Linked DNA regions of Notamacropus eugenii. The protein of the gene in region 1 interacts with the protein of each later gene in a pairwise test. Links are inferred from orthologs where the notes say so. Each region holds a gene or a part of one and is shown on either strand. Other genes may lie near its edges.

Evidence for each region. The genes of interacting proteins can lie anywhere in the genome.
Region 2: the proteins of ESR1 (region 1) and MED25 interact in a two-hybrid assay, tested with the Homo sapiens proteins (2 studies listed by BioGRID). The link is inferred for Notamacropus eugenii from reciprocal best matches to the Homo sapiens genes ESR1 and MED25.

Annotation. Positions count from the first base shown.
Region 1 is NC_092873.1:243,779,698-243,787,712, reverse strand, and holds the start of ESR1 (estrogen receptor), read right to left. Parts: upstream 3,097-8,015; 5' UTR 2,959-3,096; intron 1-2,958.
Region 2 is NC_092876.1:12,106,679-12,115,021, reverse strand, and holds the start of MED25 (mediator of RNA polymerase II transcription subunit 25), read left to right. Parts: upstream 1-5,132; 5' UTR 5,133-5,146; coding exon 5,147-5,415; intron 5,416-5,559; coding exon 5,560-5,605; intron 5,606-5,718; coding exon 5,719-5,843; intron 5,844-5,942; coding exon 5,943-6,041; intron 6,042-6,410; coding exon 6,411-6,531; intron 6,532-6,612; coding exon 6,613-6,769; intron 6,770-7,081; coding exon 7,082-7,212; intron 7,213-7,302; coding exon 7,303-7,390; intron 7,391-7,506; coding exon 7,507-7,700; intron 7,701-7,807; coding exon 7,808-7,939; intron 7,940-8,017; coding exon 8,018-8,103; intron 8,104-8,200; coding exon 8,201-8,258; intron 8,259-8,343. UniProt on the Homo sapiens protein: Component of the Mediator complex, a coactivator involved in the regulated transcription of nearly all RNA polymerase II-dependent genes.

The DNA.
Region 1 (8,015 bases):
GGTAACTGTCTGAGGGAGGATTTGAATTCAGGCCCTCCTGACTGCAAGTCTAGCACTATAGTTTACAATTATGCTTAAATTTTGCCTAAGTTGTCTAATATTTTAGGATAGTAGCTTCTCAGGGAAAGGAATGCAGAATCACAGAATGTTAATGCTGGAAGGAATGCTCTAACATATATACAGAGTCATAGTATAGGTCTTTTGATTGGTACTGAGAGATGAGATAACTTAGCCAAGATCACATAGCCAGTATGTATTAGACTCGAATTCATGTCTTGCTGACAACAAGACTGGTTTTCTATCCATTGTATCATGCTGCCTCAGGAAAGCACAATCACAGCCTTCTTGAGGCGCAGTAAACTAAATTATCTATCCTAGGATAAATACGCAAAGTATGTTCAGTTTCCCACCTGGGCGAGTTCTCCTGAGATGTTTCCAAGAAGGTTAATTGTAGATGCACCACCAGCACTACTCTCAGCATTATAAAATGTAAATTTTAAAAGCATCTATTTTACATGGGGCATGATGCCAAATCCTACTTAAAACAAGCTAGACAGCCAAGGTGTGTTCATCCTTCCTAGAGAAAGACATCACTCACCCACCCACTAGCAGCTAAGGGCTTTGAGTTTGGTTCTCCCTTTGGTGACAATAAGCTACACCCTACCAAAAAAAAGACCTCATTTTTTTTGCCTAATCTTAACCAATAGTATGCATCTGTGAAGGGCTAGACTGTATTAGGGACATATAATCTATGGCTCTAAAATAGAATTTTTTCTCTTTAATGTTAACTGAGCAACCCACTAGAAGTTCAAACCTAGGACCTTGGCCCCATTAGAACTAAGGGAACAGAGTAGTTATAGACAGATATGCAGAGGATATCCAGATAACATGAAAAAAAATGAGGGAGGAGCCATCAGAAATTATTTCTAACATATAGATGTCAGGTATAAATGTATCTGAGAGGTCTAAAGTAAGCATGTTGCCTATCACTCCCTAACTCCCCCCAAGATAGCAGATTGTAGAGCTGAAGTTAAATTTTAGGAAATAGGGTTCATGTGAGTAGACAACAGTTATGTAACTATGTCCTCATTGCTAATTCAAGAAACATATGATCTGTCCCTCTCCCTGTCACAAATTATATGTATTTCCACATTACTAAGAAAAAGGTTCTATTGACAAATCCTGGTAGCTTAAAGCATTATATAAATGTTATTATTTTTGAAATTAAGCCTCTTGCTCCCTAGTCAACATTAATCATATCTAAATTATTGATAATTACTCATTTTTTTTAATTTAAAAACCCCATGACAAATTCTGCGGCAGTATTTCATGTGTCCAGAAGCCTAGTAGGTATCATTAAGATACCCATGGAATAAAATAAATATTAATGAAATAAAACAAGAAGTGGCTGCATGGAATAGATTTGAGAGTCTGACCTAGAGTAGGGAGGATGTAGGTTCCAGTTCCACCTCTGACACTTACTGATGACACGATCTTGAGTGAATCACTGCTGCCAGGCAACTCTGTAAGACTATAAATCGGGAATCCACATTGATAGAGGGCATTTCCTCACCTGCAAGCTCCCTTCACTGATGAAATTACAGGTCTGAACAACAACAACAAAAGGTGTCAAAAAAACCATCAAAAATGATGCCTCCTTTTAGCAAATAGAGAAATGGAGGTAAAAAGACAATTAGTAAATTACTCATGAGCAAATAGGAAGTGATTTAAAACAACCGCTTTAATTGCTTTGGTCCTTTGTGCATTTTTTTAAATGCTCAGTGCATTTTGAGTGGTTAGTCTATGTTCGTCCTCATCTTGCACCTGAGCTAGCTTATAATTAAACAACCAAAAAACACATACACCTCAAACAACACTACTTTCCCAGCAAGCTCCTTCTCAGAGTTGTTCTGCAAGTTTATTCAATCTTGTCCATGAAGCCATGTGAAATCCGGTACCTTGATTTGGACTCCATGCCTTGATTTAATGTCCTGAGACAATCTTACCCTTATATCTATATGCAAACATAGGTATTTTTTAAATTATATCATCTCCTATGGGGAGGCTAGTTCCCTTCTTGCTACAGAGTTAAATTGACATTTCCTGAAACTTGTGGCTTTCCTCTCACCAAAATGAAAGTGTACCGTCCTTGCTGTGTGCTTTTGCCACATCATTACTGGACTAGCACCATGTGACACCGTCATATGTGGTACAGTCATTAATGAGGACACCAGCCTGCTGAAACAAACAAACCAATTTTTTTTTCCTTTTTCACACAAAAGAAAACTGAGGTCAAGAGTCGAAATAAATTGCTTGAGATTATAATGCAAATCAATGACAAGGTCCTTCTTCCTAGGCTCCTATCACTGGATTAGGCTGCTTTTTGGAAATCTTCCTTTCTTCTAGGAAACAGCTTGTTCAAAATATTTGGTTGGAACTGCCAAAAGTTGCTGTATTTCTACTATAACATAACAGGTAGTTGCCATATGTTCATGACAACTTCAGTGTATTCTCTATCAGATCTCATCAATGTGCACAGTTGGCCAAATAGAGAGACTTAGGTGATTCTGGAATATTTCTGTGGATTTCATGGAGAGAGCTGTGTCCAAAAAATATATTTTGTTGGGAGCAGTAAGTCCGTCACTACTGCACTAAGAAAAGGGTACTCTTCTTGCCCTCTGACTCAGCTGATTATGATTCCAAAAGTGAATTTCCATTGCACTTAGTTCAGACTTAACACTTGAACATAGTAACACTCTGGCCAACAGACTTTGTAAATATCCCTCAAGTCATATGGAAAAAGAAAGTGAATGGCTGTAAGCACTAGAGTTACAACATACTTGTAAATAACATGCACACACACCAATACACATACACACAGATTCCTTCCCCCTCAAAAAAAAGAGGGGGAAAAAAGACAAGAAAAAGAAAGGGGAGGAAAGAAATAGGAATACCTACTTGGACAGAAGAATCTCCCTCACAGCCTGTCTGTCTTCTTATACTATAGAATATGCAGGAGGAAGGATTATTAACCTTTCTAGCCCATTAAACAGCTTCTGTGCATGTGCCCTTGCATTCTCTGTTTTGGTGAAATCTGCTCTGTGGCAATACACAGGAGGTTGTTATGACCAAGAAATTAGGAAATGCAAAGCCTCAAAAATGAAAAGCTAGCACCACCATTTGACTAGAAGTGGAAAAATCTCTCTGAAAAAATGAAAGGCCTGCCTTTTCTCCATGCTAGGTCAGATTTTTCAACTTTCTGAGCATTTCAGGCTAGGGTAGAGGTTTGACAAAAAGTGGAATGTGTGTCATTAATCTGCCAGCAAAACTAATACAGTCCAGCTGATGTGTTTTCTGCCTGTAATAAAGCATAAAGTCTTGACAGGGGTGAATCTAACTAGGAAAAAGCATTTGTTCAGCACATAAATTTTGTGAACCTCAATTAGTTGCTGCTAAAAGCCATATGAAAACTCATGGGAAAGGGATTCTAGTCATGCCATTCAACCATTCCTTCTACCCATTTTCCTTCTTGACACTGAATAATTGGTTACTTAACTATAGTCAGCCTAGCCTAGATTAGCTTCTCCATGACTTTTAAGCCCTTCCCTCCATCATATGATCTTCTTATAAACTGTCTGGCATTTCCTGCAGTGATTTAAGTTTCTCTTTGACCCAGGAGATAAACATTTTGAAGTAGAAAATGAGCTAATAAAAGGACCTGGGAATTTAAAGAGCTTTTGAAACCTGTTTGTAATTTAAGAGTTTGTATCTTAAAGGTCTTTAAAAAATAAAAAAAGCTTAGTTGATGAACTTTGGTTTACTGTAAAAAAAAAAAAACTAAGGAGTTTTTGGGACAGGAGAGGAATAGATAGGAGGAAAAGCATCTCTCATATCTACTTTGCTAGACAAGTTGCCATTTCTTAAATGGAGAAGTTCCTTAAAACAGGAAAAAAGATAGACAATCAAAAACCAAGAAAGACAAAGATAGACAGACAGACCTAGGACAGGTAGACAGAGAGGAAGAGAAACAGAGAGAGAGAATGAGAGAGAAGGAGGGAGGGAGAGAGGGAAGTAAGGAAGGAAGGAAGAAAAGCTAGGGGAGTTGCCCAAGTAGGAAGTTTAGAGGGTTCAAAAGGAAGCCCTTCCTCTTTGTAATTTTAAGATTAGTGACAAGTAAAAGATAAATTATCCAATAAATCAATTCTTTGAATAGAAGTTTAAGAAAAATAACATTAAAAGCTTTTTCTGTATTAATCACTCAGTTATATGATTTGCAGACATTTCTGCCTTTTACTGCCAAATCTTTTGAGTCACTCATATGCCTCAGTGCATAGTTACCTATACATAAGTATATGATTAAAGATACAGTAGTACTTCAACAACTGAGAGATCTGTAGGAAGTACTGTGAAACCCTGTAAAATTATAATAGCTGACACTTACTTTACGTACTGATCTGGGAATATAAAATCTCATCTGATCCTCCCAAGAACCCTGTGAGGCAGATGGCACAAGTATTATTCCCCCATTTTACATGATGACAGGGAGGCTAAATGAGGACAAATAATTTGCCCAAAATGACACAGCTACTAAGTAGTAGAACTAGAACTCAAATTCAGATTTTTTTGGCTCATCCCAGGATTCTTTTCACTATACCATCCTGCTTTTCTAATTACATATCACCTTTCTTTTCCCATATTAGTTTCTGGAGAAGATACATAATTCTTCATGTGCCCTTTCAAGAGAACAATATCCACAATGACCATGATGTAATGGAAAACAAGGCTTAAAGGTGTGAGTTAGATTAGTGCCCTGAGCAATCTTGACTCTAGAGGATTGATGATAAGATATTCCTTATTCCTGTCAGTGGAGAGGTGGTAGACTACAAGTGCTGAATAAGGTATATGCTGTCAGGCATGATCAGCGCATTTGTTTGGTTTGTTTAACTGTACTGCTTTGTTGCAAGAGGAGGTTCTAACATTGGCAGAATGGTCCTTGGAAAGGATAGCTACAACCAAAAAAAGCTTCAATGAAAGATTTTTTAAAATATTTTCTCTCTTATTTTGTCATAAAATTTGCAACTGTTTAGTTGAATGGAATTCATCATCAATAACCAGAATAAATGATGAGAAAGTTAGCAAATTAGGATTTAAAGCAAACTGTCAAAACATAAGACAAATTTCAATGAACATTCGTTAACCACCTACAATGTCCAAGGCTCTGTGCTCAGTATGGGCATACAAAGAAAAAAAGAAAAAGAAAAAAAAAAGAAAAGAAACTTCCTTCTATTTCACTACTCAGATTTACTTCCCCAATATAACTTATTCAACTGACACATAAAGCCAAGAATTTAATTATAACTAGACTGAAACTGACAATTAAAAAAAAAACAATCCCAGGGTAAACATATAGTTCATCCAGGGTCACACTGCAACTAATATCCTGAAATCTTTTATGAAGCATTGAAGACAATGTAACTGTGGCATCTTGCCATCCATTACTGCCCCCCAATGTAACCCAAGTTCCCAGTAAAGACCAGGTTTCAACTAGCAAAGTAAATCAGAGAAATGAGGCAATATATCTGGGTCATTCAAGCAGAAATCTATTTTGTCTGACATCCAGACTAAAGCAGATTTTTTTTCATCTAATGGTTCAGTCAATAATAGGGTTTAGACATGAATTCCATAGATCATCTTTTTCTAGCCCTAATAATCGAGATCTCGCCAATGAGTATCCTTTAAAATTTCCCCTCAACTTGATTATAGTACCCAAGTGACTCTGAACTTCTTTTTTCATTAAATGACAAACTTAGTATGAAACTCTGCTCTCCAATTAGCCAGCCTATGGGAGTTTCCTAAGGTAAATGTCATTCTCGTGTATAAGATCAAGGCCCGGAAAGTCACAACATTATACTTCTGCCCAGTCTCTGAGTAGAGATTATTGAAAACATAGTCATAAGTCATAATATAGTCAACATCCACTACTTACTTACCTTTCAGTATGATTTACTCAAAACTTAAAGAACTTGGAGAGCAGCCAGCAAAAGACAATTCAAGTCTTCAAAAAAAAAAAATGTATAGTTTTACTTCAGTAGCCCAGTCAACCAGAAAATATTGTGGGAGAGAAATCAACAAATTTAGTTAAAGTTCACAGTTCTCATAATTTTAAATTTTAAATCTCACTGTGTAAATCACAAATGATTTGCACAAATGGTTTGCACTTCATAAATGCTTTTTTCATTTATTCTGTATGCAAAAGGAAATAATAAAATGAAGCTGTAAACATTCTAAAGAGGAAGAGTTGTGTGTATGCACATGTTTTAAAAATCTACTTTCAGGATGACTGGTTTGTCAGAACAAGTAAGATACCTGAGAGATTAAAGCATTTCAAAAGGAGAAAAGCTATTAATATTTCACTTGGTCTTCAGAAGCAGCTTGGACATAGCATAAACGAAGATAGTAGATGAATAGCTCCTTCCAAATTCTAAGGGACAATCTTCAACACTAAATGCAGTGTGAAAATAGACGGGTACAACAATCCGGGACTTTCTCTTCAATACTTTGCAGTGGGTTTGACCTTTCAGACTACAAATCAGGGAGGGGACTAGTTCGAAGGAGTCTCAAGATAAAGTTGCTAACAGTGGAGAAGCACATAGATCACTAAAGAGTTATTAGCTGTCCTAACAAAGTGCAAGCTGCTTGAAGACAGGACCTGTTTTCCTTTGTATTCTAAAAGTCTATTACAGAACCTGATATATAGTAGGTTTTACTAAATACTTGCTGGATTGGATATAATATGAACTGAGAATTATTTTTAAATCATATAAAAGAATGGAATTTTCATCAAATCACAGATTCTTTTCAAAGTGTCAAGAAGCTAAAGTCTAATATCTTAACTGGAGGAGAACACTTCTCTATTGAATCAATCAATAAATCATGGGCTTTAGACTAAGTACAGAAAAAAGTCCTTGTTTGATTAACTAGAGTGACTTTGCACAGGAATTATATTCCAATTAACTGAGGAAATTGTTATGTCATGTCAATAATCTATAAAAATCAGGTCATTTGGGGCCTGAAGGATTTGAGGAAGTAGAGAGGAGAAAACATTCCATCAAAATTCCTAAGAAAGAATTCATGCAGAAGGAGAAACCAGGCCCTGGGCTTTGATCTTCTTGTCAGTCTCCTCATCTCCTCCTCCCCACTCCCAGTCAAAGAGGACCCTCTCAGACTTAGGAGGACCAAATTAGGAGTCAAGGACAGACAAGACAGATTCCAGGCTCTATAAAGAGCACACCAGAAAATCTAAACAATATCCAATAGGAACGTTTTTATGATGCCAACAAGAGGTTTTTCCAGAACCTGTGTTATCCTTTGCCACATGTGCTTTTTAACCTTGAATTTACTTTCCCCTGGATTCTATATATATACTTACTAGAGAGTGTCACAGAACTTTTCTGGGGATGCTTTGTACCAACTCTACTACTGTAATAAATACCCCTTTCTAAAACTAAATGTCTGGCTGACAGATTGATCATAAACTTATAATTTTGGCAGGAAGCACACTGGTGGGGACTCAAAAGCCTTAGAAAGATATCTCTTCAGGATTAGCCCTAGAGCCTTAAGGAGACTTAGCTATAGTCTTTGGACCTTATTTATCAGTACAAGTGAGAACTGGGATAAAGACTTCCAGAATTTATGAGTCTACCAAAAAAAAAACCACTTAATGAGTTTATAATCTTATAATTGAGAGACAAGACTGCCACAGGAAATAATTAAAGAATGATGGAAGATCATGCAAGAGTAAAGTATGATAATGTAAACTATCCGATGTTGTTTATAAGAGTGACAAAAAGGGATAATCTTGTCATTATAGGGTAATTTGAATAGTGGCTACAACAGGATATCTATTCACTGTCATTTTACTAAAAAAAAAAAAATCTTTATTTAAACACTGTATCAATCACCATGGTATAGTAGAGAGAAATACAAATTTGAGAGTTACAAAAACTAGTTTCTAG
Region 2 (8,343 bases), on another chromosome or scaffold:
AGATCGAAGCCTGGCCCGTGGGAAGGCCTCTCCCCGCAGCGCGGGCCGAGATCGAAGCCCAGGCCGTGGGAAGGCCTCTCCCCGCAGCGCGGGTGGAGATCGAAGCCCGGGCCCGTGGGAAGGCCTCTCCCCGCAGCGTGGGTGGAGATCGAAGCCCAGGCCGTGGGAAGGCCTCTCCCCGCAGCGCGGGCCGAGATCGAAGCCCAGGCCGTGGGAAGGCCTCTCCCCGCAGCGCGGGTGGAGATCGAAGCCTGGCCCGTGGGAAGGCCTCTCCCGCAGCGCGGGCCGAGATCGAAGCCCGGGCCGTGGGAAGGCCTCTCCCGGCAGCGCGGGCCGAGATCGAAGCCTGGCCCGTGGGAAGGCCTCTCCCCGCAGCGCGGGCCGAGATCGAAGCCCAGGCCGTGGGAAGGCCTCTCCCCGCAGCGCGGGTGGAGATCGAAGCCCGGGCCCGTGGGAAGGCCTCTCCCCGCAGCGTGGGTGGAGATCGAAGCCCAGGCCGTGGGAAGGCCTCTCCCCGCAGCGCGGGCCGAGATCGAAGCCCAGGCCGTGGGAAGGCCTCTCCCCGCAGCGCGGGTGGAGATCGAAGCCTGGCCCGTGGGAAGGCCTCTCCCGCAGCGCGGGCCGAGATCGAAGCCTGGCCCGTGGGAAGGCCTCTCCCCGCAGCGTGGGTGGAGATCGAAGCCTGGCCCGTGGGAAGGCCTCTCCCGCAGCGCGGGCCGAGATCGAAGCCCGGGCCCGTGGGAAGGCCTCTCCCGCAGCGCGGGCCGACATCGAAGCCCTTTCTAGAAGCTGCCCCTCCATCCCTGAGCCCAGGGAATGGCCCCAGGGATAACGCACCCTCGTGCGTGATTTAGGCCTGGAGACCCCCAAAGGAACCTGTGAACCGCCCCTCTGAATCTGAAAGGCGGAGGGTCCAGAGCTCTGGGGGAAGGCTGCCCAGGGTGGAAGCCGGGCATCTTTTCTCTTAGCCAACAATCCCATGGTAAAGGGAGCTTGACTTTAGCTGAGGTTTCATCCAGCCTAGGGTCCCAGGGCCGATGTTTTCCCCGGCTGCTGTGATACATCTAGGCCAGGGCAGCTAAGCTGGCTCCTGGCCTGGGCCCGTTGCCCCCGAAGGTGAGATTTTCCCTTGTGTCTCTCCTGGTGCAGGAGAGGCCCCTGGATTCAGGGGGAGCCTGTGGCTGACCAGTGTGATTGAGGAGTACTTCACCTGAAGTGACCGTTCTCCCTCTCCTTTATATAGCTCTACCCCTCTTCCTCCAGAAAGTTTTCTTTTTCTCCAGCCAGATGTCCCGGTGGCAAAAATGCTGGGCCAGGAGTTAGGAAGGCCTGAGTGCAAACCTAGCCTTCCTGGCTGTGTGACTCTAGGCAAGTCACTTAATGTCTGTCTGCCTCCGTTTCTTCAACTATAACATGAAAATAGTGTCGCCTTCCTCCCAGCGTTTCTGTGAGGATCAAAAGAGATTCTATCTGTAGATGCTTAGCACAGTGCCTGGTAGGCACTCAGTGAGGGCGTATTTCCAGCCCTCTCCTCCACATTTTCTCTAGCAGATTGCTTTATCAACCCCTATCTCTCTAATCTCCAGTCTCTTCCTATCCACTGGTTTCTTCTCTGATGCCTATAAATACTCCCATGAACATTCATTAAGTACCTACTATGTGTTGGGCACTCTGCTGGGCTACAATTAACAGAGAGATAGCACTGCAATTAAGAGGGATTACGTGTGATTTTAGTTGGGACTTGAAGGAAGTCTGAGAGCGATCCAGGTCTGGGGAGGTAGGATCTGGTCTACGGAACAGGCAGGAGGCTGATGTCACTTTACTAAAGAGTATGTATTGTGGAGTGAGGTGTAAGGGGAGTATAGGAGCAAGAGGGGACTGGGCTCTGAAGGGCTTTGAACACCAAATTATGTATTTGCTCACAGAGGCAACAGGAAGCTGCAGACCTTTATTGTGTATTGGGGGTGACATTGTTTGACCTGAACTTTGGGATAATCACGTTGGTGGCTGAATGGAGAATGGGTTGGAGTGGGGACCAACTGGAGGCAGGCAAGCCCACCTGTAGCCACGGCAATAATCCAGGCATGAGGTGACACCAGGGTCCGAACCAGGGGCCAAGTCAGAAGAAAGAAGGAAGTATATTAGAGATGCTGCAGAGATAAAATTGACAGGCCTTGGCACCATATTGTATATGAGGGTGGAGTAAGAGAGGTTGAGTCCAGGATGCCTCCTAGGTTGGGAACCTGAGGGACTGGAAGGATGGTGGCACCCTCTACAGCCACAGGCCTTGCAGGGGAAATAACTGAACAAACAAAGGTCTGAACTTCCCGAGCATTCCAAGGAAGTGATGCATAACTATTTCCCAACAAATTGGAACCAATCGCCTTCCTCAGCTTTGGCACTGTACCTTGAAAACAGGGAGACAGATTTGGATACATTAAAAACAATCAAATAATACCAATTAATTAAAATGAAACCACTAACCAGTATATAACATTAGGTCATCTGATTTCTAACTGGAGGAAAGAACACAGACTTTGCAAATTGAGAGGGGGAGAGTGAACTGGTGCAATTCCCTGAAATCAGAAAAAGGCATGTCCCTCTACCCTGCAAGTGTCTGTGTACAATCAAAGATACATGGAAACAATAACTAATCCATACAGGGTCTGTTTGCAGATAAGACATAGGGAGGGATTGCTTGAGATACACAACTCCTGGCATCAGTCTTTGAATCTGACTGGGTTTCTGGTCAGCATAACCTAGGTCCTTGGTTAAGGGTCTCTAAGCAGCAGGAAGAAGGGGTCCAGTTTCCCAGCCATGCAGGGCTAGGACCAAACAATACAAAACTGTTTTCCCTCAATTCCTACAATTGAATAAAATTTTCTCTCAACAAAGAAATTGCACTAGGCCCATAACTGAATAGAAAAGGAACTGAGCCAGCGCCAGACCCGAGTCACAAGATGAAGGGAGTGGTTCCCAGTGTGCTGCCCTGATCCTATCACAGGGTAGGTAGGGGGCTTCATTTGGATGTATTAAGTTTAAGATAGCTACTGGATCTCAGATGTGAGACTGGAGGGCAGTGGAGATACTGGGGCAGAAAAGGTAGATTTGAAAATCATCAGCATGAAGGTGGGAGCTGATGAGGCTATCGAGGGAAGTACTATAGAAGGAAAGGAGAAGAGGTCCTAGGGCAGAAGCCCAAGGGACACCTATGGTTAGAGGGTATGATATGGAAGAGGAGCCAACAAAAGAGGCAGAGGAGGGTTCAGAAAGGTAAGCGGGAAACCAGCAGGGAGTGGTGTTCTGAAAACCTAGAGAGAAGAGAGTGTCAAGGGAGAGAGAGTGACCAATAGTGTCCAAGGCTGCAGAAGTTGAGGACAATGAGAAAAGGCTGGCGGGTTTGGCAGCTAAGAGATCGTTGGTCACCTTGGAGAGAGTGGAGAGTGGAGTCCAGTGGAATGATGAGATCAGAAGCCAGACTGAAAGAGGTTAAGAAGGGAGAGCAGCAGTACACCTGTTGGAGATGCCTTTTCAAGGACTTTAGCTACAAAGGGCAGAAGAGATAACGGATGAGAATTAGCAGGGATGGATTGACTGAAGATTTTTCCAGGAGAGACATGGGTGTGCATATAAGCAGTAGGAAACAAGCCAATAGAAAGAGTGAGGATGATAGAGGGGACAATCTGTTGGAGGAGATGGAATGGAATAGGATTACTTGAAAAAGAGGGGTTAACTTTAGTAAGGAGCAAGGCCGCTTCATCATATGAGACTGGAAGGAGGAGAAAGCACCTGAACGATAGATGGGGAAGAGGGGAAAAGAGGGAGCTCATGTTGACTGGCCTCACTTGTGCAGGCAAAAAGGTGAAAAACAGTGGGAGAGCCAAGGCTGAAGCTTGTCTGGGTGTAACTGGTAATATTAGGGGGCAAGAGCAACAAGGTGAAATGGATTCATCAACAAGTCAAGATGGGGACAAAATGAGAGCGTGGCTAGGGCAGGGGAGATGGCCTAGGAGAGACTTGCAGGGCCGGGGGATTGGAAGTCCAGTGAGAATGAAGGATAAGGCTTATGGAAAAGAAGGCAGAGGGAGAGGTGAAGAGCCACTCGATTACGATCAGGTACAAGGATTGTGGAATTCTCGAATACTGAAGGGATGCATTTGTAGGGGTGTATGCGTGGCTGAGGCAGGGTAGCACAGCTCGAGGAGGGCATAAGTTGGGGCAGCACTCCACATGTCCTTGAGATGACTTCAGTAGGTACCATCTCTCTTGCTACCTGCAGTCCGACCTTTTTTGTCCTTTTCTCCTGAACTTCTTGAAGAAGCCGTCCGTACCCAATACTTGTATTTCTTCTCCTCTCCCTTCATTCTGTACCTTCTGTGATCTGGCTTCCAGCCGAAACAGGTCTCTCAGCCTGACTCAGTTTCACGGCGTTCTCAGGGGTCCCCCTTTGTGACGTCTTTCCCGGACCCCCTTCTTTTCTTCCTGGATGCTGTGTCACGGGTTAGCTTCTCCACCAGACGGTTCTCGGGTCTTCGGGCCTCATCCCTGTTAAGCCATCTCAGACATCTTGGACTCAGCATGCCCCCGACGTAGCCCTCAACCGTCCCCGCTTCCTAGGACCGCAGGCTTGCCCAGCCCATGCGTCTGGTCATCTTCTCTCTGCCCGGGGGGGTGGGGAGGATGGAGCTTCAGAAGTTCGGGCACCTGTTCCGGGCCACAGGGGGAAGACGAGGAGGCTGAAGCACGTGTGTGTGTCCGAGCGGGAGCGGAGGCGCGCGGCCGGCGGGGAGCGTCGGGGTGGAGTTGCCTAGCAACCGGCCAAGGACGCGAGAACGCGGGAGCCTAGCAACCACAGGGCGCGCACGCCCCGGGGAACGTCGGGCCCTGCGAGGGCGGCGCAGGGAGGACGCGTTGCCAGGCGACCGCCCTCCTCGGCGAGACTCTCGCCGGTTTGGGAGGGCATCGCGAGATGAGACGTTGCCGGGCGACCGCCCCCGGGGCGCGCTTCAGCGGCGGGCATCCGCCCAGCTCCAAGATGGCGACCGGCGAGCTGTGCCGTCACCCAGCAACCCTCTGCGTGAGAGGCCGCCCCTCCCGGCGATTGGCTTGTGGGGCCGGGCCTCCGCTCGGCCCGCCCCGCACCAACATGGCCGCCCCGCCTGCGTCATCAGGAGCGCGCCAGGAGCGGCGGCGCCTCGTCGAGGGTGCGGCCAGGGCTGCCGCGGCGACCACGGGAGGGGACCGAGGCGGCGGCGGCGGAGGCAGCCGCGCGGGGCTCGGGATGGTGCCCGGGGCCGAGGGGCCGGCCCGCGCCGGAGGCCTGGTGGCCGACGTGGTCTTCGTCATCGAGGGCACGGCCAACCTGGGTCCCTACTTCGAGGGGCTGCGGAAGCACTACCTGCTGCCGGCCATCGAGTGCGTGCGTGCGTGTGTGCGTGCGTGCGCGGCCCCGCCGGGACCCCTGCCCCTCCCCTCCCCGCGTGGGGCCCGCACCCCCTGACCCTTGACTCCTGACCGCTCCCTCGCGCTGCCCTGACCGCGCCTATTCTCGCTCGCTAGGTACTTCAATGGAGGTCCCCCGGCGGAGACCGACTTTGGAGGAGACGTGAGCGAGGGCCCCTGGGGGTGGGGACTAGGGGATCTGGAGGGACGGGGGCTCTGGGGGGGGCCGGGCTCGCGGGAGGTGAGCACGGCAGCTCCCCCCTGCTCTGTCCGCAGTACGGGGGCACGCAGTACAGCCTGGTGGTGTTCAACACCGTGGACTGCGCCCCCGAGTCCTACGTGCAGTGCCATGCGCCCACCAGCAGCGCGTACGAGTTTGTCACGTGGCTGGACGGCATCCAGTGAGTGCGGGGCGGGACGGGGACGGGAGGGGGCCGGGGGTTAGGGGAGCGGGGCCCCGGGCCGGAGGGGCAGCCCAGCTGGCTCCTGGCTCCCTGCAGGTTCATGGGAGGCGGCGGCGAGAGCTGCAGTCTCATAGCGGAGGGGCTGAGCACGGCCCTGCAGCTGTTCGATGACTTCAAGAAGATGCGCGAGCAGATGTGAGCGGGGGCGGGGCCCAGGACTGGGGGCGGGGGAAGGCTGGGCTGGGGGCGTGGCCCAGAGCTGGGGGCGGGGGAAGGCTGGACTGGGGGCGTGGCCCAGAGTTGGGGGCGTGGCAGGCTGGGCTGGGGAGCCAAGGTTGGGCTGGGGGCGGGGGGAAGGCTGGAGTGGGGGCGGGGCAGGCTGGGCTGGGGAGCCAGGGGTGGGACCCAGGGCTGAGGGCTAGGGAGGCTGGACTGGGGGCGGGGCCCAGAGTTGGGGGCGTGGCAGGCTGGGCTGGGGAGCCAAGGTTGGGCTGGGGGCGGGGCCCAGGCATGGGGGGACCCAGCTCCCCCGCTCCCTGGCTGAGCCCCCTTTTTCCTTCCCAGTGGCCAGACGCATCGGGTCTGCCTTCTCATCTGCAACTCTCCCCCATACCTGCTGCCGGCCGTGGAGAGCACCACGTACTCGGGCTACACCACCGAGAGCCTGGTGCAGAAGATCGGGGAGGTCTGTGGGGCAGTCGGACAGGGGGAGCCGCAGTGGGGGCCGCGCTGGGGGCCGACTCTGAGGGTCTCCTCCCTCCCACAGCGAGGCATCCACTTCTCCATTGTGTCCCCGCGGAAGCTGCCGGCCCTGCGGCTCTTGTTCGAGAAGGCGGCGCCGCCGGCGATCCTGGAGACGCAACCAGCGGATGTGAGCCAGGATCCACGGCACATGGTGCTGGTGCGAGGCCTGGTGCTGCCAGGTCGGTGCCAAGGAGCACAGTGGTAGGTGTGGGGGGGGCAGGACAGATGGCTTTGCCTGCTCCTGTGCTTGTCTGGTGGTGGCCCCATTCCTTGCATTAGCGACCAGGGACCCAGCTCCTTGGTGAGCTCCAAGATCTTCAGGAGCAGAAGGGGAACAAAGGGGAGCTTGGTTCTGGCTCAGCTGGGTCCTGACCCTGCGGGGGGTGGTGGGGTCCAAGGTGGGCAATGGCTTCTGGTCTGGGCCTAGCATCTGAGTGCTTTGCTAAAGTTGCTTGTTTTCCTCTGGCATTTCTGGCCCTACCACCCCTCAGTGGGTGGAGGTTCTGGCCCAGGCCCCCTCCAGTCCAAGCAGCCCGTGCCACTACCTCCAGCACCACCCCCTGGGACCTCCCTCTCGGCTGCACCCCCTCAGCCACTGCCTCCTGTTTCCCAGCCCTACCAGGTATGCAACAGGGTTATCTAGGAAAGAGGGGGTGAGGGGCTGGGTCTGGGGATAGTGGGGGCTCCCAGGGCTGTCTGCCCCTCCTTCCAGGTGTCCAGTAATCTCAGTGCAGCTCAGGTGGCTGCTCAAAATGCTGTGGATGCTGCCAAGAACCAGAAGGCAGGACTGGGCCCACGCTGTGAGTATTGAGGGAGGGGGGGCATTCTGGGTGGGGAAGAGGAGTCATCCGTGAGGGATGGACCCTCTGTAGGCACCCCAGGGCCCTGCTCTGCAACTTGTTTTCTCTCCTGGCAGTCTCACCCATCAACCCTCTGCAGACAGCGGCCCCAGGAGTGGGCCCCCCGTTCAGCCAGGCTCCAGCCCCTCCGCTCCCTCCTGGGCCCCCTGGGGCTCCCAAGCTGCCCCCAGCCTCCCAGCCTAGCCTGGTGGCAGCAGTTGCTCCTGGGTCTGGGCTGGCCTCTGCTACCCAGTCTGGAGGGCCCCCCATGGTACGTGCTTGCCCTATCTGAGCTCTCTGACACATACTATTCCCTCAGGGTCCCCTGTCCTGGGTTCTCTGTGGCTGACCCTCTGCTCTCCTGTTTCCTGTGAGCAGGCTGGCTCTGTGGCTGCGGCCGGGGTGAGTGGGCCAAGCCCGGCTCAGCTGGGGAGTTCCGCACTTGGGGCTGGGCAGCAGTCAGTCACCAACAAGGTCCTGGCATGGAGTGGTGTCCTTGAGTGGCAGGAGGTAGGTGGGTCTGGAGGAGAGGGGTGAGGCAGATGGGTAGGGAGGAGGGGCTCCCGTGACACTGCCTCTGCCTTCCAGAAACCCAAACCGGCCTCAGTGGATGCCAACACGAAGCTGACAAGGTCCCTGCCCTGCCAGGTCTATGTGAACCAGGGAGAGAACCTGTGAGTGTGGGGGGTGGTCTAGGTGGGGTAGAGGAGTGGAGGAGAGGCAGGAGGCAGGGGAGGGGTGAGAACCACAGATCTTCTCTGTTCTCTGCAGGAAGACAGAGCAGTGGCCCCAGAAGCTGATCATGCAGCTTATCCCACAGCAGCTGCTGGTGAGAGCAGGGCCTGGGGCTCCCCTTCTCCCTGAGCTGCAGGCCCACCCCAGGCCCCCTTGGGCCATGTTTCAACGGCCTCCGC